Macaca mulatta: one gene and its partners. The protein of the gene in region 7 purifies or fractionates together with the protein of the main gene of each other region. This does not show direct contact. Links are inferred from orthologs where the notes say so. Each region holds a gene or a part of one and is shown on either strand. Other genes may lie near its edges.

Region 1 (3,500 bases), on a different chromosome or scaffold from region 7:
ACTACTATCTGAAAATAGATTCAACCATTTTTGCCCTACCTTCAGTCTCTTCCTGATAAGCATGTACAGTTACAACCATAAATACAACAAATGTCTTTAATAAAAACCCCTAGTTCACTCAAAATGTTTGATCCAAGAAATGTGAATACACAAGGGTGTAACGATGGGAAATCTCATGATTTATTGAACTTGCAGCCTAACTTTTACCTACCATTTTACTACCAACACCACTGAAGGAACCAAGAAAAGCTTTATTAATGATCACTTGGCTTGCCTCAGCTGTTGAAATGAAGCACTTTACAGTCTTTGTGGCAGCAGAATATACTTGTCCATGGTTCATATCAATGCTAAAATTCCAGCAGGGAAAAAAATGATATGTTAAGCACCCAAATCTTCACACGGAGGGGGAGGGGGTAGGAAAAGAAGGAAAAAAAGGGAAAAACAACCAAAATAATTTAAGTAAATGACAGATTGGAAAACAGGGTTTATAAAAATTATTCTCTTGAGTTTATAAATTGTTAAACTCAATTTATAGCTATGTTAAACTACGTAAGAACCACTATACTGAAAGACCATTTAAGAGTATTAGTTTATCTTTTAGGGAGGAAAATTAAGAAAGGAAAAGTAAATAAGATCTTACCTAAAGAAGTTTAACTGAAGCTTAGAACTATTTTGCTCTACACCCTCAGCTTTCGTTGGCATCCTTAAAAACTACTGTAGTTAAAGTTTTGTAGAAACAGCACAGTTTTTTAAGACTGGCTGAACTTAGTAGCCGTCAAGAGTTCTCTTGTACTAGACCTGTGTCCCTGAAGAGTACCTCGCTGGGGTTATTTCCTTTCCTTGCATTGAAGAAGCAGCATCTAAAAGATCTAAAAAGGTGTTTCTCCTTGCAGAGATATCCCTTAAGTTATCTACATAATTTAATCCTGATGAATTGCAGACAACACACTTATATCTGACCAGCATTTATCTTATACAAATATAACAACAGCTTTGCAACGGACCTTAATTATACTACCCACTCCTTAACTTATTTAAAATAAAAAGTCTATAATTACACAATTTCCTTTAGAATTATTTTATTAAATCATAAATGTACAACAGCTTCTTAACTCTACACACGCACTTAAATTTTTTAAAGGAAAAACGTTATGTCTTATTACACCATGATCCTGGCTAATAGCTTTTCAAAACTTTGAGAAAAATCTTAAAAAAGGTTTCACATGTCACCTGAAACTTACAAATTTAACATTATCAAAGAAGGAATGCTTCTACACTCTTACAAAGACCACTAGAAAGAAACAACAATTAAAAAGCTAAGAAACTGTCTCAAAGGCATTTTTTTTTTACAATCCTTCCTCCACAGTAAGGTAATGTTATTAAATAATCCAATCCATTCACAAAATGGCTCTCTGCATCTGCTCTGGTGTCTTCTGCCATATCACTGCATATTTATGCATGACTGAGATAAGAGTTTCCTTAACATTGTTATTTCGATAACCTGAAGCTGTTCTGTTACCTCTGGGCTCTCATCCTCTCCTATTTATACAGTGAAGCCTGTTTCAACAGAAGTAAAGAGTAAAAAAAAAATAGGTTATGAAATTATCCATCTAACCAGATTTTAAGGAAAGATAACATGATCCTAAAAAGCTTTTACTCCTGCAGCTATGTCTCCCAAGATAATAATAATTGTAAAACTCAAAAGCTACTTACCCATGGCAAATAGGAAGAAGCTCAGTATCGGCTCCTCCCACCATAACCCCCACTTCCTCCACTGCCTCCTGGACCATAGTTTCCTATAATTGTTGGAACAGCAAGAGAAAACAAACTTACTTTGATTTCCCATAATCACTATAACACTACAGCTGATTCTATTTTCTATCCATCCAGTCTTTAATAAAAACAAGCAGATCCTAACCCTTTGCAGCCAGTTAGCAGAATTACTTGGGAGATAAATTACTCAGGTTCATAGACATTTTTATTTCGTGGCTGATGCTATGCTATTCTTTTAAATAAAGGGTCCTCTCATCCTCATTTGGACTAAGGGATTTTTTTAAAGTACACCAAGACCAAGACACAGAAAATGTTTACTCCTGCTAAAAACCTCAAGAATAAGCTAAGCAATGGTTTGAATCATGGTTTAATAATTTAACTTCAAAGACCCTCATTCCAATTTACACCACTTGCAATGTGGGTTACAATTTTACTTAGCTGTTTACCAGCCCCCACCAGAAATTGAACTACTGAACTTCCCCACCTCCAACACCCCTAATCCCAATTTGATGTTGTAACTGCTTGCTGAGTACTTCTGTGGAGATTTATGCAAAATTTCTTTATTTTCACTAAGACCGTATATCCCACAACCCAAACTATTTAGTATGTTATTTTCCCTTTAAGTCACAAAAGGCTAATCCTTTAATCACAAACATCTGAAAAATCTCAATTGTTATAAATTACCTCCACCATATGGTCCCCCCATGTTCCTGCTACCACCAAAGTTTCCACTCTTCATTGGACCATAGTTAGAAGGTTGCTGGTTATAATTTCCAAAATCATTGTAATTTCCACTTCCATAATTTCCTATAAAAAAATTGGAACACTAGTATAATGGACCTCAGAACAATACATTAAACCAAAAGAACATTAAACCAGAAAAACATTAAACCAAAGACACATGCTAAGGATTTAGGACAAAGCTCCCACAAAAACAAAAGCAAACACTTTATCTAGTGACAAACATTGAAATAAAAGATCAAGTATTACAAAGCCATTAATTCCAAATTCCCACATAAAGGTTGCAGGTGAATTTATTACCTCCTCCATAGTTGTCATAACCACCTCCGTAGCCCCCACCCTGGTTGCCATATCCAGGTCCTCCACCACCATATCCTCCTCTTCCTCCTCCATAACCGGGGCTACCTCCAAAATTGCCACCTATTATAAAATAAGCCTTTAAGTAATCACTTAATATTTTCAATGCCATTTTGAACTGTCTCCTCACATCCATTTCCAAGTTTGCATGTGAAACATTCAATGAAATTCCTCTAAAACAGCTTGAAGGACTGAATACCTACCCTTGGTAAACATGTGGTGGCTAGAGTGCCTACCCAGCCAAATGGATAACACCATGTGTACCCACTTAAATACCTGTAACGCTACAGCTTTCCCTCAATACTAAAAATCTTAAGTTATCTTGAAATACTACATGTATATAGTGGGTAAGGTTGTGAGGCTAGACTAGCAGTGTGGGTTAGGGAGAAAGTAAAAGAGCACTTCCCCCTACTGGCCCAAAAGAAAGTTTCTATTATGTCTCCCTACGAATTACATCTTTTAAAACAATGTTCTCGGTCAGGCACGGGGGCTCCCGCCTGTAAACTTTGGGAGGCTGAGGTGGGTGGATCACAAGGTCAAGAGATAAGAAGACCATCTGGCTAACACGGTGAAACCCCATCTCCACTAAAAATACAAAAAATTAGCCGGTTGTAGTGGCAGGCGCCTGT
Region 2 (3,362 bases), on a different chromosome or scaffold from region 7:
GCTGCAGAGGGCTGGGCACAGTTGGGCCTTGGAGGGACCCAAACAGGAAAAAACAGCCAGAGAGGTACAATGTGAGTGTTGGGGGAAGGTGGGGAGACTGTTCTGGGAAACTTGAGGGCTGGCTGTGCTGGAACGCCAACCCCATCCCCCACCAGGCAGGAGGACACAGGGGCACTGCAGAGGGGAGGGGCGCAGACCCAGGAGGGGATGAAGAGTGGGACAAAGACCCTGAGAGACAGCTGTGGATGGGAGGGAGCCTGAGAGAGCCGTGGAGGGGAGGGAGCCGGAGGGAGCCTGAGACAGCCGAGGAGGGGACAGACCCTGAGAGAGAGCCGTGGAAGGGAGCCAGAGGCCTAGCGACAGGGGAGGGGAGATGCAGATCCACAGAATGGCAGCCACCAGCAGGCTCCAAGGCCGGTCCCCCCACTGCTCAGGCTGGCACCTCAGCACCTGCGAAGGAAACCCCAAACCTCCTTTGCCCCCAGGAAATGGAACCAGACCCCAGCTGAGGATTTATTGGCGTAAATGCAACCATATAAAAACATAAGTTATGAAAAACACAGTCACGATGTGCCCTCCCCATCCCCCCAGCCCAGGCCCCTAAAACCCCCTTCTGTGGGAAGAAGGGAGAGGAAGGGGGAGCCCCGAAACCGCCTAGGAACGCTCAGCCCCTGGGCCCGTGCAGGGCGGGAGAGCCGGGCCTCAGCGCATCCGGTAGTCAGTGGAGCAGGACAGCTCGCACAGCTGGCCCTTGAAGTCCAGGTCGATGGTGAAGTCCAGGTCCCGCTGTGGGGAGAGGGCGGGCATGAGGGCGGAACCCACCAGGAGGTGGTGGCAGGGGGGTGCAGGCAGGCCATGCGCTGGGCTCCAGCTTCCTGCCCATCTCCACACTGCAGACCCCAACTGCTGGTCCCACCCTAGCAGCTGTCCTGACCCTGTCAAGGGACAGCGCCACGTGGACACCCTCAAGCCCACTAGGTTCACTCAGGAGCAGAGCCTGGCTGCTATCCCTTGCCCTTGGATTTCTCCATCAAGACGTTCCCTATCAGCAACGCAGTGATTGCTTCTTTCATAAATCAGAAAACCTCTCCCAAGCCCACTTCTGCTCAGGCAAACATTCCAGTGAAACGCAGTGGTCCAGCCTCTGTCTCCACTTCTCCTCCCAGGCTTCCGGAAGACCCCCCATACCCTCCAGCACAGGAAGAGGGGATCAAGTTGCCAACAGCCCCGAGGACTCCTCCTCCCTCTCCAGTATCTGTTTCCCAGCTAGCGCCGTGGCCCCAGGGGCTACAGGAGTCTTTGCAGGGGGTGGTCCTGTGGTTGTAGGACGTTTACCAGCCCCTGGCCCCTACATACCAGATGCCAGGAGCACCCCTTCTCCAGAGTGACAACCACAAATGTTTCCACAGATGGTGACGAACGTCCTCTGTCGGGGGTGGGGGGCACTGAAACTGCCCAGCTGACAACTGCTGCTGTCACGGGCTCGAGGGCGTCCCGGGGCCCACATTCCATGACTGCCCTGAGTGCCACCCACCCTCGCACCCATGGGCCGGGACTCACTCTTCCAGCCCACACCACTCCCGGTGACTCCAGGCTCCCGGCCTTCCATCCTCCTGCCTGCTCAAACCCGCCACACTGGACCTCTCTGCCCAGACCCTCTCTCCCAGAAGCCCCCCCCAGCTCCCCTGGAAACCCCCTGATCTCAGGTGATGGCAGCTCCTACCAGGTGCTCAGGAGGAAAAAGGGGGAGTGGAAAACAAAAAGCTGCCTTTCTCCTCCTCTCATGCCTCCCACCTGGGCTAGCAAACCCTGTGCGCTCTACCGGGGCCGCCTCTTGCCCTGGAGGTCACCCACGCCAACACCTGTCTGCCCTGCTCCCAGCCTGACAGACGTCACCTCCCACTGGCATCACCATGTCACTGATCCCCTTGTGTAGACTGGAAGCACCAGGAGGACAGGGCTTTGGCCTGGGTCCCCAGGCCCATCTTCCAGTAAATGCTAAGAAATCTGCTGTGTAGACAGGCGTGGGGCTGAGGGGCTCAGGGACCCGGGAACAGGCAGAGGCACTCGCCCCTGCCAGCTGCCCCCATCCGCCCCAGCTACCCCCATCCCCTACGCTGCCACCATTCCCCCCTACCACTGCCCCTATCCATGCTCCCCACCCCGGCTGCCACCCTCCTGCCCAGCTGCCCAGAGCCTCACGTTGTTCTTGGCATTGGGCCGCATGCCGATGGTGCCGAAGATCTCCTCGCCCGTCTTCACGGTCAGGTAGTCCTCCATGTAGAACACTGTCTGCTTCCAGTGCGTGTACGGGGACTCAGGGCCTGGGGGCGCAGGCGGGTCAGCTGGCCTTGGCCTGCTGCCCTGGCCCCAGTCTTGTGTTCCCTCTGTTGGAATGTCCACCCCCCTGACAGCTGACGGGACTGCTGTCCGTGAGTCACCTCCCTGTCATTCAGCTTTGGAGACAGGGACCGTGTCAGGCTTTTGTGGATGAGGAAACTGAGGCACTGCACACTCAGGTCACTTGCCCAAGGCCATGTGACTGCTACATGGCAGAGCTCACGCTGGAACACACATGTCCCCATGGCTCCCTCTGCCCGTTTCTTTTTTTTTTTTTTTTTTTGAGACGGAGTCTCGCTGTGTCTCCCAGGCTGGAGTGCAGTGGCGTGATCTCGGCTCACTGCAAGCTCCGCCTCCCAGGTTCACGCCATTCTGCCGCCTCAGCCTCCCAAGTAGCTGAGACTACAGGCGCCCGCCACCATGCCCGGCTAGTTTTTTGTATTTTTAGTAGAGACGGGGTTTCACCATGTTAGCCAGGATAGTCTCGATCTCCTGACCTCGTGATCCACCCGCCTCGGCCTCCCAAAGTGCTGGGATTACAGGCTTGAGCCACCGTGCCCGGCCCCTCTGCCCGTTTCTGTCACCCCCTCCACTATGTGGGTGCCCCTCGGCCCTGGCTCAGGAGCAGCCCCCAGCCCTGCGGGCCCCGCCTCACTGGTGGAGAAGCCCGTCCTCTTGTGGCAGCGCGTGAACTCGATGTTGAAGTAGGCCACCAGGGCGTGCACGTAGTCATTCCGCTTCACTTGCAGGCAGAACGGGGAGGTGAACGTCAGGTCTTCCACCTTGACGGTGTAGATGTCCACCTCCTGCAGGACAGGAGAGGGTGAGCTCCGGGATGTGTCCCCACCTCGCTTCATCCCCTCCTCCCTCCCTCAAGCTCCCAGAGGGCCTGTGACCTCACTGTCCCCTTCCCGCTGGCCCTCCCTTACTGGCACCCAGCCTCAGCTCCTCATTCACTCCTCATCCTGACTGTCCGGCTCCCAATAAACCGCCTCGGTTTGAGCCCAGATTCTTTGCTCCCT
Region 3 (3,500 bases), on a different chromosome or scaffold from region 7:
AAGACAAAACCAAATCATCAAAATGGAAGAGAATCTGACAATATCCAATACCATTTCGTGACAAAAACACTAACCACCACAACAAAAAAGTTCAACAAACTAGGTATGGAAAAAAACTTACTGAATCTGATAGAGCATCCATGAAAAACCCACAGCCAACATCATATTTAATGGTGAATGACTGAATGCTTTCCCCCAAGATCAGGAACAAAATTAGGACGCCCACTCTTGCCATTTCTACTCAACATTGTTAGAGGTTCTAAGCCAAGGAAATTAGGTAAGAAAAAGAAATAGAGGTATCCAGATTAGGAAAAATGAAGTAAAACTATTTCCATTTGCAGTTGAAATATCCTACTAATTCTCGTAGTTTTTAGTGGATTCTTTGGGATTCATAAATATATGGGATATCCTGCTACACCCTTCTATATATGCGCTATCTTGCTATATCCTATATTTAGAAAATCCCAAGGAATTCACTAAGAACTATGAGAATTAGTACGTTCAGCAAGGATGTAGATTCAAAATAAAAAATAAACAAAAATCAACTGTATTCAGTTGCAATAAGAAACCCAAAAATATTATAAAAGAGAACAATTCTATTTACAATAGAGAAGTTTCTAAGGCATTAATACTTAGGAATAAATTTAACAAAAAAGTGCCAAATTTAGACTCTGAAAACTACAAAACATCACTGAGAAATTAAAGAGGATCTGTATCTATAGAAGGACACTCCATGTTCAGCGATCAGAAGACTTAATTAACATAAAGATGGGAATACTCTCAAAATCAATCTAGAGATTCAGTACAATCCCTATCCAAATCTTAGGTGGCTCCTTGCAGGAACTGACAAGCTGATCCTAAAATTTCATATGAAAATTCAAGGAGCAAAGAACAACCAAAATAATCTTGAAAAGCAAGAAGGAAAGAAGAGAACTTACACTTCCCAATTTCAAAACTTACTATAAAGCTACAGTAATCAAGACAAAGTGGTACTGGCATAAGGATAAATGTATAGATCAATGGAATAAAATAAGGTCCAGAATTAAACCCTTACAGTTACACTGATATTCAATATGAGTGACAAAATAATTCAATGGGAAAAAATAGTCTTTCCAACAAATGATGCTGGAACAACTGAATGTCCACATGGAAAAGAACAAAGCTAGACCCCTGCCTCATATCACACACAAAAATAACCTTAAAATGGATCAAACACCTAAATGTAAGAGCTAAAACTACAAAACTAGTAGAAGAAAATACAGGGGTGAATTTTCATGACCTTGGATTAGCAATGGTTTCTAAGGTATATACATAAGAGAAATAAAAACATACGTCTGCACAAGAACTTTACAGCATGCACCATGGTAGCATTATTCATAACCAAAAGTGGAAACCCAAATGCCCATCAACTGATGACTGAATTTGTAAAATGTGGTATATCCATACAACCGAAAACTATTCAGTATTAAAAAGGAATGAAGTACTGACACATGCCACAATGCAGATAAACACGAAAACATTGTGCTAAGTGAAAGAAGCCAGTTACTAAAGACCAAATACTATATGATTCTACTTATATGAAAGTCCGGGGTAGACAAACCTAGAGTCTAGAGAGTCTATGTTCTAGGTGATTTGAAAATTAGGACCTGAATTCTATTCCTGTTGCACTCTTCAATTATTACATTCCTGATAAAAGCAATAACGGTCAATAATTTTTTTTTTTGCTAAACATCCCAGGATAGCTAGCAAAGGAACTTAAATTTAAGAACTTTGAACTTTGTTCTAATTTTTAAAAAGTAATATCAAATTTAAATTTAAGAACTTTGAACCTTGTTCTAATTTTTAAAAAGTAATATCTAACATCTCATGATATTTTATACATAACTGAAGAATAGCATCTCTTCATAGATAATATCCCCCAATACTGTCCAGATTACCATAAAATTCAAAAAGAGGACAGCAGCTACAAAATCCCTAACTACAAATCACCTAACCTAGAAGAGCAATAAGAAATCCTTCTGGACCAGGCCCAGTGGCTAACGCCTGTAATCCCAACACTTTGGGAGGCTGACGTGGGTGGATCACCAGAGGTCAGGAGTTCAAGACCAGCCTGACCAACATGTTGAAACCCCATCTGTACTAAAAATACAAAAATTAGCTGGGTGTGGTGGCACATGCCCGTAAGCCCAGCTACTCAGGAGGCTGAGGCAGGAGAATTGCTTGAACCCGGGAGGCAAAGGTTGCAGTGAGCCAAGATTGTGCCATTGCACTCTAGCCTGGGCAACAGAGCAAGACTCCGTCTCCAAAAAAAAAAAAAAAAAAAGAAAGAAAGAAAGAAAGAAATCCTTCTGGTTGAATAAAAAATGTTGCTCTGGGGCCTGAAAGTGATACTTCAGTACCATTTATAAATAGGAAAGGTATACAAAAAGATTGAAATTAAACTAAAGTGCACAAAATGACTAAAAATAATATTAAAATCATGTAAGAATGTTATTATCTATACAAAGATGTTGTTCTTCGGTTAAATATAAAACATCATGGGATATTAGATGTTACTTTTTTAAAATAAGGACAAGATTCAAAGTTGTTAAATTCAACTTCCTTTGCTAGCTACTCTAGGATGTCCAGCAAAAATACTATCAACAATTATTGCTCTTATCAGGAATATAATAATTCAAGAGTGAATAGAATTCTGATCCTAATTTTCAAATCACTTAGACTATGCCCCCATTTTGAAAATTCAGATATATATTTAAGTTGACAAAAACACTGGGCCAAGGTTTACTTATGGGACTTGATATAAATTTGACTCTATTTTCATTATCATCTGTTTTATCATTTTGTAAGAAAGCTGAGTCTAAGACTACACAATAGGTTAAACATTTCCCAATAGTGTATGAACATTTATAGACTCATTTCTAGGTAACACCTAAAACTCACCACACTATGTAAATCCTGCACATTTGTCTTTGAAACTGTGGCCCCAACTTGCAATGGATAGCAGCATTTTTCTTTATTCTGACAGCTTGATTAAAACACAGAGCTAAGGGGCTCATGAAGAAAAGTGCTTTTAATATCTAAAACTCTACAGCAATTACTTTTCCAACAGAGTAACTGTACTTACATCAATATCTTCTTGAGTGAAAGTCTCTGGATCTTCTCCCATCATGTTGGCTAAATGTCTCTTTCCTATGTTGAACTCTTCAATCTGCTTTTTAATAAAATCCTCTGTGTAAGTTTCACGTTTTGAGGCGGGAACATTTTTCTTTGTTGTTCTAACTGCAGTATGTCTTAGCCTTAATATCTAACAGAAAATACAGATGGAAAGAAAAGGAAATAAATTAGACTGTGATCTTCTAGGGCACTGTCCTTAAATAAAATAATATATGCGAGTAATTGTCTTCTTTTATTATGGTATTCAAGTGACAAGAGTCCAAAAAAAAAGTTTAAAAGGTCTGCTAAAAAAGTTGTTAGAATCTGTCCCCTGCTCAAAAGCTTGC
Region 4 (3,500 bases), on a different chromosome or scaffold from region 7:
GGAAGATCTCTGACAACAGGGACTACTTCTACGTGAAATGCCTAGTACCTACGAGAATGTGAGTACATGATAAATGTTAAATATTAAATTCAGAATGTTATCATAAAATGTGATCTGCTGATTAAGAAAATTGACTTTTCCCAAGTGGTCTTTTATTATACTTTTAAGAGTTACCATTTACTTTGGCATTTTCACATCCATCTGCCAAGAACTGCCTACTTACTTCTTGATTTTTCTGCCTTCAAAAAAGGACTCAGCAAAATCCCAATGTCTGATGAAGGTTTACTGTCATTTACAGTCCAAATGGGAACACAATGTATTTTAACAGGGAACAGAACCTTTATAGCTAAAGGAATGAATCCCCTTAATTGAAATTTCAGGAGTTATTTGGAGAAGAGATTCTTTTTTTCTGAGGGACAGAGAAATCTTCTCAGCTGCCCTAAAATTCTCCCATGTAAACAGTTGCCTGCTGTATCCTCAAGGCTGGTCCCAGCACTCAGCAAAATGATGGACCCTGAATACCATATAACTCTATTTTTATTTGCTTTGTTGTACTATTAAAGAGTTTATTTCCAAAGTATGAAGTAGGTTATGAAAGATTGCTATTTTTCTATGTAGTGAAATAAGTGAGAATTAAAAAATATATTTGAGAAGTAGTAATATGTGTGTGTGTGTGAGTGTGTGTGTGTGTGTGAGAGAGAGAGAGAGGGAGAGAGACAGAGAGAGAGAGAGAGAGAGAGAGAGACAGAGAAAGAGACAGGGTCTTGCTCTGTTGCCCAGGCTGGAGTACAGTGGCATGATCATAGCTCACTGCAGCCTCAACTTCCCAGGCTGAAGCCATCCTCCCGCCTCAGCCTCCTGAGTAGCTGGGATTACAGGCATGCGCCACCAGGCCCAGCTAATTTTTTGATTTTTTTGTAGAGATGAGGTCTCACTATGTTGCTCAGCCTGGTCGCAAACTCCTGGGCTCAAACAATCCTCTTGCCTTGGCCTCCAAAACTGTTGGGATTACAGGCGTGAGCCACCCTGCCTGGCCAACAATATTCTTTTCTACATAGCCTAAAAATTGCCTAGCTTTTTGTTCCTTTAATTCGATTTGAGAGAAAAATTTAAACAGTCTTCCTAATAGCCAGAATGATAAAAATCTCTGAAGCATTTGGTATAATATAGGTCGTTGTATTTACTAGGTGTTAATAAATTTCAAAGACAGAAAAAAAGAAAGAGACCCAAATATATTTAATGAAAATTCGAAGGAAAGCTGGTCCATGAATATTTATCTTTTACAAGTGTTCTCTATTTTTAACTGTTTTCCTCTTTATGATCCAAGATAAACAACAGATAAAATTAATTTGGAAGGACACCACTAAGCACACACATGCCTATTATAATGTTTTCTGTCAACGAGAATATTTAATGTTACCTTTATTACTACGTAGCTTTCCTATAGTGACATTCTAGAGACATACTCTGAGAGAAAATTATTTAAGGAAAGATATCTTTCAGAAGTTCTAATGAAATGGCACTGTTAAGAGAACAACAAAAAAAGTAGTGAGGTCTCTTAGACTGCTAACTATATGATGCTTTGGGGAATTCGGAATTAAGTCAGAAAATCTTGAAAAACAGAAGTCTTAAGAAGAAACAATGATTTATAATGAATTTCATTTTCACTTTTTCTGATGGCTAGAGTTCTTATTCCACTTGAGCATAAAAATAATTTTTGATTACAAAGGTGACAAAACACCAGACGCATAAGATAAAGGCAATAAATTTTCTGAAAGAAAAGAAAATCATTTGTCTTGGATTATTTTAGGGGAAAGCTATCCTGGATGGTTTCTATGTGATTCAAAGTCATCTACTTTATTTTGGCTCATAAATTGCCCATCAGTCCTTTTGGAGGATACCAACTTTTTTTTTTTTTTTTGGAGACAAAGTCACGCTCTGTCACCTAGGCTGGAGTGTAATGGCTCAATCTCCACTCACTGCAACGTCTACCGCCTGGGTTCATACGATTCTCCTGCCTCAGCCTCTAGAGTAGCTGGGATTACAGGTGCATGCCACCACACCCGGCTACATTTTGAATCTTTAGTAGAGACAGGGTTTCGCCATGTTGGCCAGGCTGGTCTCAAACTCCTGGCTTCAAGTGATCTGCCCACCTTGGCCTCCCAAAGTGCTGGGATTACAGGCGTGAACCACTGTACCCAGCCGCAGGATACCAACTTCTGCCCAGATAACAGAATGCTTTAAACAGGAGGGCTGGTAAACTTTCCATTATTTTTTGCAAAGCAGTATTAATACAATATCATGTCATTTTGTGAGTGACAGGTAAGAAGAAAAACTGCTGAGTACATGAATACTTGTTCTCTGTTACATTTTAAGCTGCAAATCAACAAAATCACCATATTAAATGAGAAGTGGTCTCACTGGCTCCCCAAAAATCTTTCAGTGACTGTGACTGGCCAGGTCCTGAAGCCATGTAATAGTAAGAAAAGTTAAAGGCTCACCACCCTCTTCGTTCTGCCAGGCCTCTCCACAGAGAATCTGTCCTGACCATTCTCTCGATGAGCTTCTTCCATAGCATGCCATCAGAGGTCACTCGGTACCATTCCTTGCATACAAGTTCAGCAGCACATAGTGATTTGGCATCCAGGTATGACAGAATGTTCTCAGCAATATGATCCAAACCCCGAGCTTTCAGGAGAGGGAGGAGGCAAAGAAAAAGAACACAGAGGGTGGTGAATGATTTTTTACAAAAGGTCCTTTAAAACAGAACAGCATTTGTTCTGCTATGAAGGCACATCATTGTCCCTAGTGTGGTCCAGTTTCTTTTTCAAACAGAGGCTTGGGTAAAATGAGTGTCAATAATTTTTCCATAAGGTTACAGAAATGAACAGTATTTTCCATCTTCCTTTAGATAAGGAAGTTAAAGTTAACAACCAGCAAACCCCCCAAGACATTAAAAATAAAAAGGATTCCAGAAAACAATTCACATCTATCTATATGGATTTCAGCACTAGGGGATGTTCTATGGATGGCATCTCAAACTCTATGATTCAGACCCCCCCAAATCTCTATATTAGGTCCATTTCTCATTCTGTTTCTATTACTGCTGCAGTTCCAAAGCTGTTCGGTTAAAGAAATATCCTTTAAATGTACTGGGGGAGAGGCACTAAGTCAGAATGTGCTGGGTTATAGAATTTTGGGCATGCAGAAGGAGAGAAGAAGGAAATATAGAATGGCATGGAAATATCCCAAGAGAAAGACAGAGATGTATGTTTAAGTTCAAGAATGAGTATAATTTCAGATTAAAAAAAAAAAACAAAACTATATTTGAGAGTAGCTGCTGCTATAAAACCTAAATGACAGTTGAGTAAAAATGAAAAAATTCCAGACCAAAAGATAACTTGGTTAGCATTTCAGAGAATATTCTGTAGGAGGTGCAGAGGAAAATAGTGGAGAATAGATCCTGGGGCGTACAAACCAGAAGGGCTTTCCAATTAAAG
Region 5 (4,035 bases), on a different chromosome or scaffold from region 7:
ATTTGGCATGTCACACAAGCATCACTTTCTAGACCAAGCTTGCCCAACCCAGAGGTCGCATGCTGCCCAGGAGATGGCTTTGATTGTGGCCCAACAAAAATTGAACATCGTGATTTTTTGCACTACCAGTAGTGTGGCCCAAGATAATTCTTCCAACGTGGCCTACGGAGGCCAAAAGACTGCACAACACCATCACAAACAGCATATAATTTCAGTATCCCTCAATTCCTAAAGCACTTCTACCACCTACACACAGTGCAGGTTCCTTGCCCTCCCACCCTGGCTCCTTTGGCCATACCAACTACACCAATGGGGACAGTCAATCCATCATATGCATCATTTCTATACCCAAGTTGAATGTAAAATCCTTTAACTATCAACCATTAGCAGAACAGGCTTACAAAGTTAAGCCCATTATTCATTAAGAGAATTTCAACAAAGTTGTATCAGTCCATTTGTAATGAACAAAGTCTCCCAGTTTTTAGAAGTTATCATTCTGAAGAGCCATTATCTCTGGCATACGCCAGAATCACTCACCTCTACACTGCCCTCTGGAAAGCCAAACCTCTTCTGAACTACAGCAGTCAGTTCCCGAATCCGCCGGCCCTTCTCACCAAGAACATTCTGTGTTCTGGGCGGGGAAAAAGTGACAATTCATGACTCTCACAAATGCTAGATTTAACTTTAAATCTTGCAATATATATGTGGTAGCAAAATCTCTGCCACAAAGCATATAATTTTCATTGACAAAAACTAAAGTTAAATTTTCAAAATGCAGCTTTTTTTGAGACAGGGTCTCTCTCTGTCACCCAGGCTGGATCACACCAATGGCTCACTGCAGCCTGGACCTCTTGGGCTCAAGCCATCGCCTGCTTCAGCCTCTGGAATAGCTGGGACCACAGGTGTGCACCACCACAACCTTATCTTTTTTAGAGAGGGGGTTTCCGCATGTTGCCCAGGCTGGTCTTGAACTCCTGAGCTCAAGCGATCCTATGCCTGGCCTTAAAATCCAGCTTTTAAGAAGCAATTACATTCACTAAGCCCAGACTCACTGGCTGTCTATCCCCTTAAGTTCACAAAGGACAAACCAGCCAGGCGCGGTGGCTCATGCCTGTAATCCCAGCACTTTGGGAGGCTGAGGTGGGCGGATCCCGAGGTCAGGAGATTGAGACCATCCTGGCTAACACAGTGAAACCCCGAATCTACTAAAAATACAAAAAATTAGCCGGGCATGGTGGTTGGCCCCTGTAGTCCCAGCTACTCAGGAGGCTGAGGCAGGAGAATGGCAGGAAGCTGGGAGGCGGAGCTTGCAGTGAGCAGAGATCTCACCACTGCACTCCAGCCTTCGGGACAGAGCAAGACTCTGTCTCACACACACAAAAAAAGGAATAAACCAACTTAGCATTTACAACAATTATAGGTGATGGCCAGTCAAGTGAGTTTTACCTGGTGGCTAAGATAATGATTTCTGTCCTGGTTGGTGTAACTCGCACCTCAACTCCAGAGTAGCCATCTTCAGCCAGCTCCCGAGTAAGAAACTCATTCAGTTCAGCTTTGAAGATGCCATCAGCGACAAACTAATCCAAAAAAAGCGAAGTTCAAAATTAGGACATCGGTGTAGGCTCACTTTCGCCTGAGCCAGTGTCTTATTAGTCAATGCATCCCTCCCCAAAACTAAATACCTCCAACCAATGGTTCCAAACCCTTGTTCCAACAGGAGTGCAGCAACCCTTCTCAGACAAATGCCTCTAGGTCATCTTTAGGAAGTTACTTCAACCAGGGCCCTTTAAACTGTGCCACAGAATGCAGCACAGAGTAGGCAACCTGGGCGAAGGCAACACCCCCAAGTCAGACTCGTCATCATCTCTTCATCGAAGGGTTTAAAACAGTTCCACATGCAAAACAAGAAACTGCTCTAAAATAGCCTATTTACACCTCACTCAGCACAGCAAAGACACTGTACTTGTCACTGTGAAGGAACAGAATAGATAGTGGACTTAACATAAGCTCTCTCACTTGCAGACACAACCTGGACCGTCTAAAGAATCCCAGCCATGTTATCTGGCCTTACGGTACCTGTGGTTTTAACTGTAAACAGAGCTGGAAAATCCTAACTCACAAGAGTTGTGGATTTAATTTTAACATCGAAGTGTAGGTATACGAAATGACAAACTGTCTATTTTTAAAGCTAATGATTTTTACACAGTTCTTTCCCATGGAATAACAAAGCGTTAAATCCGAGGCAGCTTCCTCCCGGGGTCCTCAGACGGAGCAAGCAATCGTCAGTAACCCTTCATGTTGAGGTCGTGGGACCAGCAGACTGTACCCAGACTCGACCAGTAAGAAGACAAGTATACACTGCTGCCTCCCCTTCCCAAAACCATGGGATAAGACATGAGGGAAATGACACACGCCCTCAAAATACCACGTTTACTAATTCCATTGACCAAAAAATGCTCACAAACGCCTTCTCCGGGACAGAAGGGGCGCCTGGTCCCCATCTCTCTGCGCTTCACTCGGAACCAGAGAAAAACCTGTCTCTCCCTTACCCGGCCACACAGCGCCCGCCTGGCTCGGGCCTCTCACTCAATCCACCGCCATCCGCGGCCCGTGGGAATGCCAGGAAGCCTAAGCCGCTTCCCAGGGCAGGGCACGGAGCTGCAGGCCTCGCGGTGGCACCCGAGAAGCCCCTGACCCTCGCGGCGCAGTCGTTCCCCGAACCCAGTCCCCAGAGGCTCACCTTCCTCTTCTTGGAAATTTGCACGGCCATCTTGCCGCCGCGCTCCGCCGAAAGAAAAAGAAGTGGCGGGCGGGCGGAAGTGAGTATAAAGGGCGCGAGCGACGGCGGAGGGCTGCGCTACGTGGACGCCTATGGGTGCTCATGGGAAATGTAGTTTTTACGTAAAGAAGGCGTCAAGGGAAGGAAGAGTGTAGGCAGGAACAGTAAAGGGGGTTCGACCAGCAGGACTGCTAGACTTCAGAGGATCTTAGAGTTCAATTCTCTTTTTTTTTTTTTTTTGAGACGGAGTCTTGCTCTGTCGCCCAGGCTGGAGTGCAGTGGCCGGATCTCAGCTCACTGCAAGCTCCGCCTCCCGGGTTTACGCCATTCTCCTGCCTCAGCCTTCGGAGTAGCTGGGACTACAGGCGCCCGCCACCTCTCCCGGCTAGTTTTTTGTATTTTTTAATAGAGACAGGGTTTCACCGTGTTAGCCAGGATGGTCTCGATTTCTCGACCTCGTGATCCGCTTGTCTCGGCCTCCCAAAGTGCTGGGATTACAGGCTTGAGCCACCGCGCCCGGCCGCGAGTTCAATTCTCATAGTTTAAAAACAAGCAATGCGAGGTGCAGAGGTGGAAATTACAGGTATAAGTTCACACAGCAACAGAGTTTAACCAGCGTGGAACTCTGGCCCCTACACTTTCAGGGTGGATATTGTAATGAAAATCTGCTGAAATCCCTCAGTGAAATTCATTTAAGACTCCTCTTTGGGAGGCCAAGGCGGGCGGATTACTTGAGGTCAGGAGTTAAAGACTAGCCTGGCGAACATGGTGAAACCCCGTCTCTACTAAAAATAGAAAAAGTAGCTGGGCGTGGTGGCAGGCACCTGTAATCCCAGCTACTCAGGAGGCTGAGGTGGGAGGATTGCTTGGACCCGGGAGGTGGAGGTTGCAGTGGGCGGAGATCCCACCACTGCACTCTAGCCTGGGCGACAGAGTGAGGCTCTGTCTCAAAAAAAAAAAAAAAAAAAAAAAAAAAAAGAATGTCCCCAGTCTGTGCCCATTTCCTCCATTCCAAATGATAATAAAACCTGATATTTACTAAGTGTCCTAGGGACTGTGTTCTGTGCCCTTTATGTTGTTTTCATTTACTCCACCTTACTTTCATCAAGTCCATTACAATTTGTAACAGAAGTCCCAGAGAGTGGCTCGTGTGCCCGCCCACCCTCCCTCTCTTCCTTCCTTCCTTCCCTCCTTCCTTCCCTCCTTCCCTCCTTTCTCTCTCTTTCTCTCCTTTCTTTCTTTTCTCTCCCGTTGCC
Region 6 (3,597 bases), on a different chromosome or scaffold from region 7:
TCTATATCTGATGCAATTGTCCTAAGCAAGTTTTTAAACAAATTGTTTCGCAGCTACTCTGCCATTCTGCCAGTAGGTGGTGCTACAAAGATCGGGAAAAGGATTTCCATGAGGACAACAGTTCAGATATAGAGGGGGAAAAAAACCGTTTAAACCTGCTCTGAAAGTACAAAAACGCATCTGAGGGTAAAATATAACCCTCATTTTTAACCATTCATTACAGATAAACCAGTAAGAGGGATGAAACTAGGCCATCTGAAAAATTTTAAACAGTTTATATGAATGACATGCTTAACACAAACTATATAGAACTACACAGTACACAGTTTGAAGTAAATTGTCATAGAAATGACCAACCATGTCAAGATGGTAAGCAAATCGCTTAGTACAAGAGATGGATGCACAGAAACTTAAGAGTTTAAAAAGCCACATCCACCACTTCAAAAGTTTTGCCTGTAGGGGATATAATTCAACACGCAACTAGCAGGGCAACGGGGGGCGGGGGGGGGGACCACAGGACCTCTTAAGTTTCTCTAAGTACACATCAAGAATAAAGAATTAACACGTAAAGTCTTAAACAAATATCCCTTAAAAACGGTACGGAATGGATCCTAGAAAAGAAATGTTAGACATGTACGGTCAAACACAATGATTTATTAAAAATAAAACGTAAAAATGATTTTTGTACATATGCTTCCAAATTTCAGGCATGGGATCCAAGTAGATTTCATAGAAAACGCTGTAGCCAGGTTATCAAGTCCTTACAACAAAGTAAACTACCCCCCACCCCAACCCCCGCCCAGGTTTTGCTACAGAATCAGCAAGTTCACTCCCTCCCTCCCCCCAAAAAACACAAATTAAAACAAGACATTTTGCTAGTATAAAAACGACCAAGGTCCAAGTAATAATAAAAAAATAGAGTCCATCAATGACTGTAACACAAAAATGTGTATGTGGGGCCGAGTCCATCTTCAGAGGGAGAGACAAGAGAGGTGGCAGGCAAATAGAGGAACACCCCCAAGGGTAAGCAGCCTTAGAAGTGGCTCCCCCAAGGGCAAAACAGGGAAGGCGGTGGTGTGGGTGTGAGGGGGTGGGGCTTAGGAGTTGACCCCACTTGGGTTTTTGAAAAGAGCTACCCCAATAGCCACTCCCAGGCATTTTAAATTTTCTTTTAGAAGGAGCTCCCTCCATAGCCACCCCCACCTCCATAGCCGCCTCTGTAAGGTCCACTATTACTGCGACCGCCCCAGCTGCTGCCTCCGCCGCCGCCGCCGCTCTTCATGGGCCCGTAAGAGGACTGATGCTGACTGTAGCTGCCGAAGCCGCCGAAGCCGTTACCGTAGTCGCTCCCACCGTAGGACGAACCGCCGCCGCCGCCTCCGTAAGCATTGTAGCCGCCGCCACCGCCGCCGCCGTAACCACCGTAGCTGTTGTAACCGCCGCCGCCGCCCTTGGAAAGGCCGTTCTGGTCTCGACCACCGCCGCGCCCCCGGCCGCCTCGGCCGCCCCGGGAGGATCGGGAGCCGCCTCCACCCCCACCGGAGTAGATATCCTCCTTGGGGACTGCCTTCTTCACCTCCACGCGATGGCCCTGAATCGGATGGAACTTGACCACCGCGGCCTTGTCTGCCGCGTCGTGATTCTGAAAATACACGAAGCCGAATCCACGCTTCTTGCCGGACTGCTTGTCGGCAATAATCTCGGCCTTTTCCACGGTGCCAAACTGCGAGAAGTGCTCGATCAGGTCGCCCTCAGCCACGTCTCCCTTAAGGCCGCCGACAAAGAGCTTCTTAACCTTGGCGTGGGCACCGGGCCGCGCCGAATCCTCCCGGGACACCGCCCGCTTCAGCTCCACAGTGTTGCCGTCCACGGCATGGGGCGAGGCGGCCATGGCGGCGTCGGCCTCCTCCACATTGGAGTAGGTCACGAAGCCAAAGCAACGGGAGCGCTTGGTCTGGGGATTCACCACCACCACGCAGTCCGTCAGAGTCCCAAAGGCCTCAAAGTGGCCGCGCAGGCCCGACTCACTCGTCTGCACATTGAGGCCGCCGATGAACAGCTTACACAACTGGGAATTCTCCATCTCCAAGGCTCGGGCCTTGCCCCCGCCCTGCGAGCTCCGAGGTTTCGCCGTCGCCGCCGTTATCGTTGGTTAAGGCCTCTACACAGCTTGGGCCCAGCCGCTGCTGGAGCCACCCCCGCCGGTCACCGACAGGGAAGGGAAAAAGGGAAGGGGAGGGAAGGAAGGAAGAAAGGAAGGGGGAGGGAAGGGGAGCGGTGCCGGCGAAAGGGCGAGCCGAGGAGACTGGAAGACAACCAAGGCCACCGCTACCGCCGCCGCCACCTCCGCTCCCCTATCTGGGCACCACACAAAGAGGCCGCTGAACGCGCGCGCACCCTCCCCGAGGCGTGCGTCACCGCCGACGTACGGCAGCCTAGGGCTGCCCTCCAATCCCCGCCTCGCTCCCCTTAATCCCGCCTACCGCGCCGCAGCGCCGCTCTAGATCACGGACTCCCCGCCCTCCGCGGTCTATTCAAGCCCGCGGCCTGTGCCGCTCCCGCCTCCCCTTCTGCCAACCCGCTTTCATTCCCGAGCGCCCTATTGTCCCTTGACATGGGTCCCTCCCTGCCCTCCGCGCACCGCCGCGATTCATTTCCTCCTAGCACTGCGGCTGTTCCCAGTGTTTCTCCCCCTCCCCTTTCCTCATCTCCGCGCCCAACTCCGCAGTGGCGTTCGCGCCAGCCCCTTGAGAGACATGTCAGTTCAGCCAATCACCGTGATCCCCTCGCACCCACTTCCGTTTTCGGCAGCTGTTGGACGGGCGCGCTCCCCGGTGCGCGCTTGCCCCGGCGCCCCCAGCGTGCAGAACCTGTCTGCCACCCCCTCGCCTTCTGCAGCCCAGGGCTTTGCAGGGGAGAGAGCAGGAGGCGCGCTGGGGGCCATTCCCAGCGGATGCGGCCTGGGGCGCCATGCGCGGGCTTTTTGAAAACTTGACGTTGGGGTTGGGGGCCCGGATCTACCCGCCGCCTTTCCGCTTGTCCGCTACACCTGGCGTCCCCGCCCCACCTCCCGCCCGCACAAAGATGGAGGGCAGAGGCCTGGTCCACGAAGGCGGTTATTAACCGTTTACGGTGGGCCGACATGCGGTTAAACTAAAACTCTGCCACGTGGCCCTGCGCAAAAGCGAGCCCGAGGCGGCGGTGTGAAAGACAACGGAACCAAAGAGCTTCAGACATTACGAACCAGACGAGGCGCGACATCCCTGCCACCATCCCGCCATCCTTGAAGCCCTCCCACGACGCCCTCTCAGAAGGAGGCCCTTTCAGGTCCCCTTGGCATACTCCAAAATTTTCATTTAACCTCAGTGAATGGGTTTTTATGTGTAATTTACATCATCCATGTGTTGCTTTCTTTCAACTAGAATGTTAGTTTTTTGTTTTTGTTTTTGTTTTTTTTTGAGATGAGTTTCACTTTTGTTGCCGAGGCTGGAGTGCAGTGGGGCAATCTCGGCTCAGCAGCCTCCGCCTCCTGGGTTCAAGCTGTTCTCCTGCCTCAGTCTCCTGAGTAGCTGAGATTACAGGCGCCCACCACCATGC
Region 7 (3,500 bases):
CCTCTAACTCGATCCTCTAAGGGGACATTCTGGATAAAAGTATACTCTTCAGGTATTGGAAAATATGGCTTTTCCTTCTGACCAAAATTAAATTCAACTGCACAGTTGTGGCAGAGAACATGCGGGAAGAGTGGCCGTCCAGCAAGAACTTCCTTACTGATTTTGAAAGCAATGCCAAGATCTTGTCCATTCTTAGCATAGGAGAGTTCTACTTCATCACTTTCAAAGTTCTGTTAAACAGCAAAAAATTCAAGTTATCTGCTTCCTATAAACTTTCTAAAAAACTAATAATTAAAATTAGGAGCAAAGCTTATCCTGTGGGAGCTACAGGTTAAACAACTATTAAGTGGCCTCTAAGGGCTACACAGTTAAGAAATCTGATGGTTACAAACAATGAAGCACGTATCTCCAGAACCAGAAACAATAGTGACCTAGAAGTTAGACTAAATTTTCTAGGTCAATTTCATCTTCATTGTTTTCAGTCAAAATGAAATTAGTGAGTTCCTCAAAAATGTCCTGTATTTTCCCAATTCAACTGCTGAATGAGTATTTATACTAACCCAGGGACTGGTGTATTTATGTTGCTCCTATTGAAGATTGACCTTAATAAAGCTTCTTAAAAGTTCCTAGATATAGCTACTAATTTGCCATTTATACATAGAAAGTTAGCTTTAACTTACAGCAAAACATGTAATCACATCATTTTCATCAAACTTTTCTCCATAATCTTCAGTCTCACAGTTGCATGTTTTTATTCCTTTTAGAGAATACCCGTAAGAAAATTCTTCTTCACCTAAGAAAGTAATTAACCTTCGTGAAGTAGATTTTTAAAATAGTCCAAAGACTCATCTATTTCACTACTTAAAATGTAGGCTACAAGAGAAATGAGCATATAACCTAATCACCTGTCACTGACACTATTACTTTTCTACCTCTGTACTAGAATTGATGAAAGTTAGGAGGGATATATATATATGCAGAGACCAAATTAGTTGACAATTTGCATATCATGGGTAAGATTTTATTTCAACCATAAACTTCTAATAAAGGAACAAAAACTAAAATGTAGCCTGTGCCTACTATGTGCTAATATTACTTGTCTGAAGTATTAACAGAATAGATAAAAACAGACAAAAGGCTTAGAATGCCTTCTAGTCTGGTTAAAAAATAAGGATATCAGACCCTCCTAAACATTCATGAGCCCACATCAGTCAAAAAGAATCTTTACCAAGTAACATTCCACTTGTAGTTAGTGACCAGCCAATACGAACTTCATGTATGTCAATATCTTTTGTATATAAATGCCTTACTGGGATCTTCTCTGTAACCTGAAAGTCGAATCATTAAATAATTAAAATCATAAACCAAGGAGGTAACCCCTTAACTCTGGCTTATTTCATAGGGTCATGAGCTAATCTTCCTCGAGCTATAAATACAAAGAGATGGCACACTCTAGCCCATCCCTAATATTTGTAAGAACTTTAAACTGATGTGCTTATAACTTGAAATGTTAAATACTTATTTGACCCATATTTAAAAGAATAGTTAATATTTTTACAGTTCATGTTGTCAGTCTTCAACTTAAAGCCAATTAAAGGATACATTTAATGTTTTTCTCGCCAACAAAACCTGTAATCTAACCAAATTTTATTTTTCACTCTTTGGTGGCCCTTTCAAATGCTTGATAAAAATGAAGTACCCTAAATAAAAAGTTGCCTAGCTCTGCATGTCAAGTTCTAACATAACTTAACTGTCACAACAAAATGAAGGTTCCAAGTTCCTCTTTTAATTTACAGGAAGCTTCAAAAAATAAGTACCTCTGATAACTTAGCAGTATGAAGCACCTGTAATTTCAGTATTCTGGGAGGCCCAGGCAGGCAGATCACTTGAGCTTACGAGTTCAAGACCAGCCTGGGCAACATGGTGAGACCCTGTCACTATTTTAAAAAGAAAAAAAGAAAAGAAAAAAAAAGGCTGGGCGCGGTGGCTCAAGCCTGTAATCCCAGCACTTTGGGAGGCCGAGGTGGGTGGATCACCTGAGGTCAGGAGCCCCGTTCTCTATTAAAAATACAAAAATTAGCCAGGTGTGGTGGCACGTGCCTATAGTCCCAGCTACTTGTGAGGCTGAGGCAAGAAGAATCACTTGAACCCAGGACGAGGAGGTTGCAGTTGAGCCTGGGTCACACCACACCAATCCAGCCTAGGGGACAGAGTGAGACTCTGTCTCCAAAATCAAACAAAAACATCATAAAATTGCATTTACCTTCATCTCAAAACACACTTTGCCTTTTGACACACCATAAGATGCTCTTCCTCCAGCCCAAAGAAAAGCAAAACTTTCCATTGTAAGGGAAGAAGCACTGAGACGATCTCTTGATATTTTAAAATGTAGATCACAATTATCTGTAATTATATCAAATACTGTGTTACTTTTGACATCCAATGTAAACATATATGCTATGTAGAGAAAACTTGGTTATTTAATTTTTGCATGTACTTAACGCTGCACAACTTTTCTCCACATCATGCTGTTGTTCCAATTTTCAGTTTAAAGCCCCACTCCCACCAAGTCACTCCTTTTAAATTATGTACTGAAAAGTAAACTGCCTCTGAAACTAATACCAAGGTTTAACATGTATATTTTAAGTATTTAAAATAATCAAGACAATGTGACATTAATACATACCTGCTCTGCTCTTTACCTTGATTTAGAGGCAAGCAGTAGAGGATAGCAGGAAATCAAAGTGAAGCATGCCAGAACCAGGTAGATTTACCAGTGCCACATTAAAACTGAAGGGAGGCCACGACCAAATTATTTTGAAACAGGAGTATGAGCTGCTGTTGATCCTGCACCAGGGCTCTAGCTCCTAAATTCTTCTTCTAAAACTTGTGAAGAAGACAGCCTAAATCTATGAAGTACAAACCTGGCCGTCTAATGCTGTTAATAGTGCAGCATTTTAGGTCCTCTTTACCCAGGACTGCCTGTTCAACAATTAGGGATTAACTGCTTCCCGGATTATCCAAATCCAAAGTGTCTTTAACCTAGCTACCTATGGGTCACTGGCTCATTAACATGCACCTTCTCAGACTTCTCACTTCAACAGCTAAAGTCAAGCTGGAATTCAATTTTTTTTTTACTGATCAGAGAAAAATAAATCTACAGTTTGGAATTTTTCTTAAATTAGAATTACTGTAATCAGCAGAATTTAATTCAACAGATTGTTTGAATTCAACATTGTGTTTATATTGACATATGCCTATCTGATTTGCTAAAAAATCTAACAATTACATTACCTGCATGAGTCACCACTTCACTACCTTGCCAATTCCTAGCAACTTTTTATTTACACAACCCAGAATTTCACATAAAACTTTCAAATCAACTAACTCCTTTTTCACCTGCAGTTTTTTACTTTAAAAAGGCTCAGATGACTATCTCAACCTTCTGTAAAGGACATTCCAGTAAGAAAGAGTTTTACATTTACACTCTTACAAATCTG

The links.
Region 1: the proteins of HNRNPU (region 7) and HNRNPA2B1 purify together in Homo sapiens (affinity purification with mass spectrometry; 4 studies listed by BioGRID and IntAct, with this or other methods). This does not show direct contact. The link is inferred for Macaca mulatta from reciprocal best matches to the Homo sapiens genes HNRNPU and HNRNPA2B1.
Region 2: the proteins of HNRNPU (region 7) and PRMT1 purify together in Homo sapiens (affinity purification with mass spectrometry; 4 studies listed by BioGRID and IntAct, with this or other methods). This does not show direct contact. The link is inferred for Macaca mulatta from reciprocal best matches to the Homo sapiens genes HNRNPU and PRMT1.
Region 3: the proteins of HNRNPU (region 7) and MRPS9 purify together in Homo sapiens (co-immunoprecipitation; 3 studies listed by BioGRID and IntAct, with this or other methods). This does not show direct contact. The link is inferred for Macaca mulatta from reciprocal best matches to the Homo sapiens genes HNRNPU and MRPS9.
Region 4: the proteins of HNRNPU (region 7) and BTRC purify together in Homo sapiens (affinity purification with mass spectrometry; 6 studies listed by BioGRID and IntAct, with this or other methods). This does not show direct contact. The link is inferred for Macaca mulatta from reciprocal best matches to the Homo sapiens genes HNRNPU and BTRC.
Region 5: the proteins of HNRNPU (region 7) and RPS3 fractionate together in Homo sapiens (co-fractionation; 3 studies listed by BioGRID and IntAct, with this or other methods). This does not show direct contact. The link is inferred for Macaca mulatta from reciprocal best matches to the Homo sapiens genes HNRNPU and RPS3.
Region 6: the proteins of HNRNPU (region 7) and HNRNPA0 purify together in Homo sapiens (affinity purification with mass spectrometry; 3 studies listed by BioGRID and IntAct, with this or other methods). This does not show direct contact. The link is inferred for Macaca mulatta from reciprocal best matches to the Homo sapiens genes HNRNPU and HNRNPA0.

The regions. Positions count from the first base shown.
Region 1 is NC_133408.1:102,195,106-102,198,605, reverse strand, and holds part of HNRNPA2B1 (heterogeneous nuclear ribonucleoproteins A2/B1), read right to left. Parts: intron 2,935-3,500; coding exon 2,815-2,934; intron 2,581-2,814; coding exon 2,458-2,580; intron 1,797-2,457; coding exon 1,735-1,796; 3' UTR 1,714-1,734; intron 1,558-1,713; 3' UTR 1-1,557. UniProt on the Homo sapiens protein: Heterogeneous nuclear ribonucleoprotein (hnRNP) that associates with nascent pre-mRNAs, packaging them into hnRNP particles.
Region 2 is NC_133424.1:62,140,888-62,144,249, reverse strand, and holds the end of PRMT1 (protein arginine N-methyltransferase 1), read right to left. Parts: intron 3,147-3,362; coding exon 2,996-3,146; coding exon of another isoform or gene 2,904-2,995; intron 2,604-2,903; coding exon of another isoform or gene 2,546-2,603; exon of another isoform or gene 2,325-2,545; coding exon 2,203-2,324; intron 787-2,202; coding exon 703-786; 3' UTR 501-702; downstream 1-500. UniProt on the Homo sapiens protein: Arginine methyltransferase that methylates (mono and asymmetric dimethylation) the guanidino nitrogens of arginyl residues present in proteins such as ESR1, histone H2, H3 and H4, FMR1, ILF3, HNRNPA1, HNRNPD, NFATC2IP, SUPT5H, TAF15, EWS, HABP4, SERBP1, RBM15, FOXO1, CHTOP, MAP3K5/ASK1, MICU1 and NPRL2.
Region 3 is NC_133418.1:13,170,666-13,174,165, reverse strand, and holds part of MRPS9 (small ribosomal subunit protein uS9m), read right to left. Parts: intron 3,305-3,500; coding exon 3,125-3,304; intron 1-3,124.
Region 4 is NC_133414.1:113,598,323-113,601,822, reverse strand, and holds part of BTRC (F-box/WD repeat-containing protein 1A), read right to left. Parts: intron 2,689-3,500; coding exon 2,502-2,688; intron 1-2,501. UniProt on the Homo sapiens protein: Substrate recognition component of a SCF (SKP1-CUL1-F-box protein) E3 ubiquitin-protein ligase complex which mediates the ubiquitination and subsequent proteasomal degradation of target proteins. Recognizes and binds to phosphorylated target proteins.
Region 5 is NC_133419.1:75,815,685-75,819,719, reverse strand, and holds the start of RPS3 (small ribosomal subunit protein uS3), read right to left. Parts: upstream 2,801-4,035; 5' UTR 2,771-2,800; coding exon 2,741-2,770; intron 1,878-2,740; exon of another isoform or gene 1,730-1,877; intron 1,578-1,729; coding exon 1,447-1,577; intron 632-1,446; coding exon 538-631; intron 1-537. UniProt on the Homo sapiens protein: Component of the small ribosomal subunit. The ribosome is a large ribonucleoprotein complex responsible for the synthesis of proteins in the cell. Has endonuclease activity and plays a role in repair of damaged DNA.
Region 6 is NC_133411.1:146,603,424-146,607,020, forward strand, and holds HNRNPA0 (heterogeneous nuclear ribonucleoprotein A0), read right to left. Parts: upstream 2,253-3,597; 5' UTR 2,084-2,252; coding exon 1,172-2,083; 3' UTR 501-1,171; downstream 1-500. UniProt on the Homo sapiens protein: mRNA-binding component of ribonucleosomes. Specifically binds AU-rich element (ARE)-containing mRNAs. Involved in post-transcriptional regulation of cytokines mRNAs.
Region 7 is NC_133406.1:4,250,634-4,254,133, reverse strand, and holds part of HNRNPU (heterogeneous nuclear ribonucleoprotein U), read right to left. Parts: intron 2,404-3,500; coding exon 2,264-2,403; intron 1,329-2,263; coding exon 1,229-1,328; intron 794-1,228; coding exon 681-793; intron 231-680; coding exon 1-230. UniProt on the Homo sapiens protein: DNA- and RNA-binding protein involved in several cellular processes such as nuclear chromatin organization, telomere-length regulation, transcription, mRNA alternative splicing and stability, Xist-mediated transcriptional silencing and mitotic cell progression.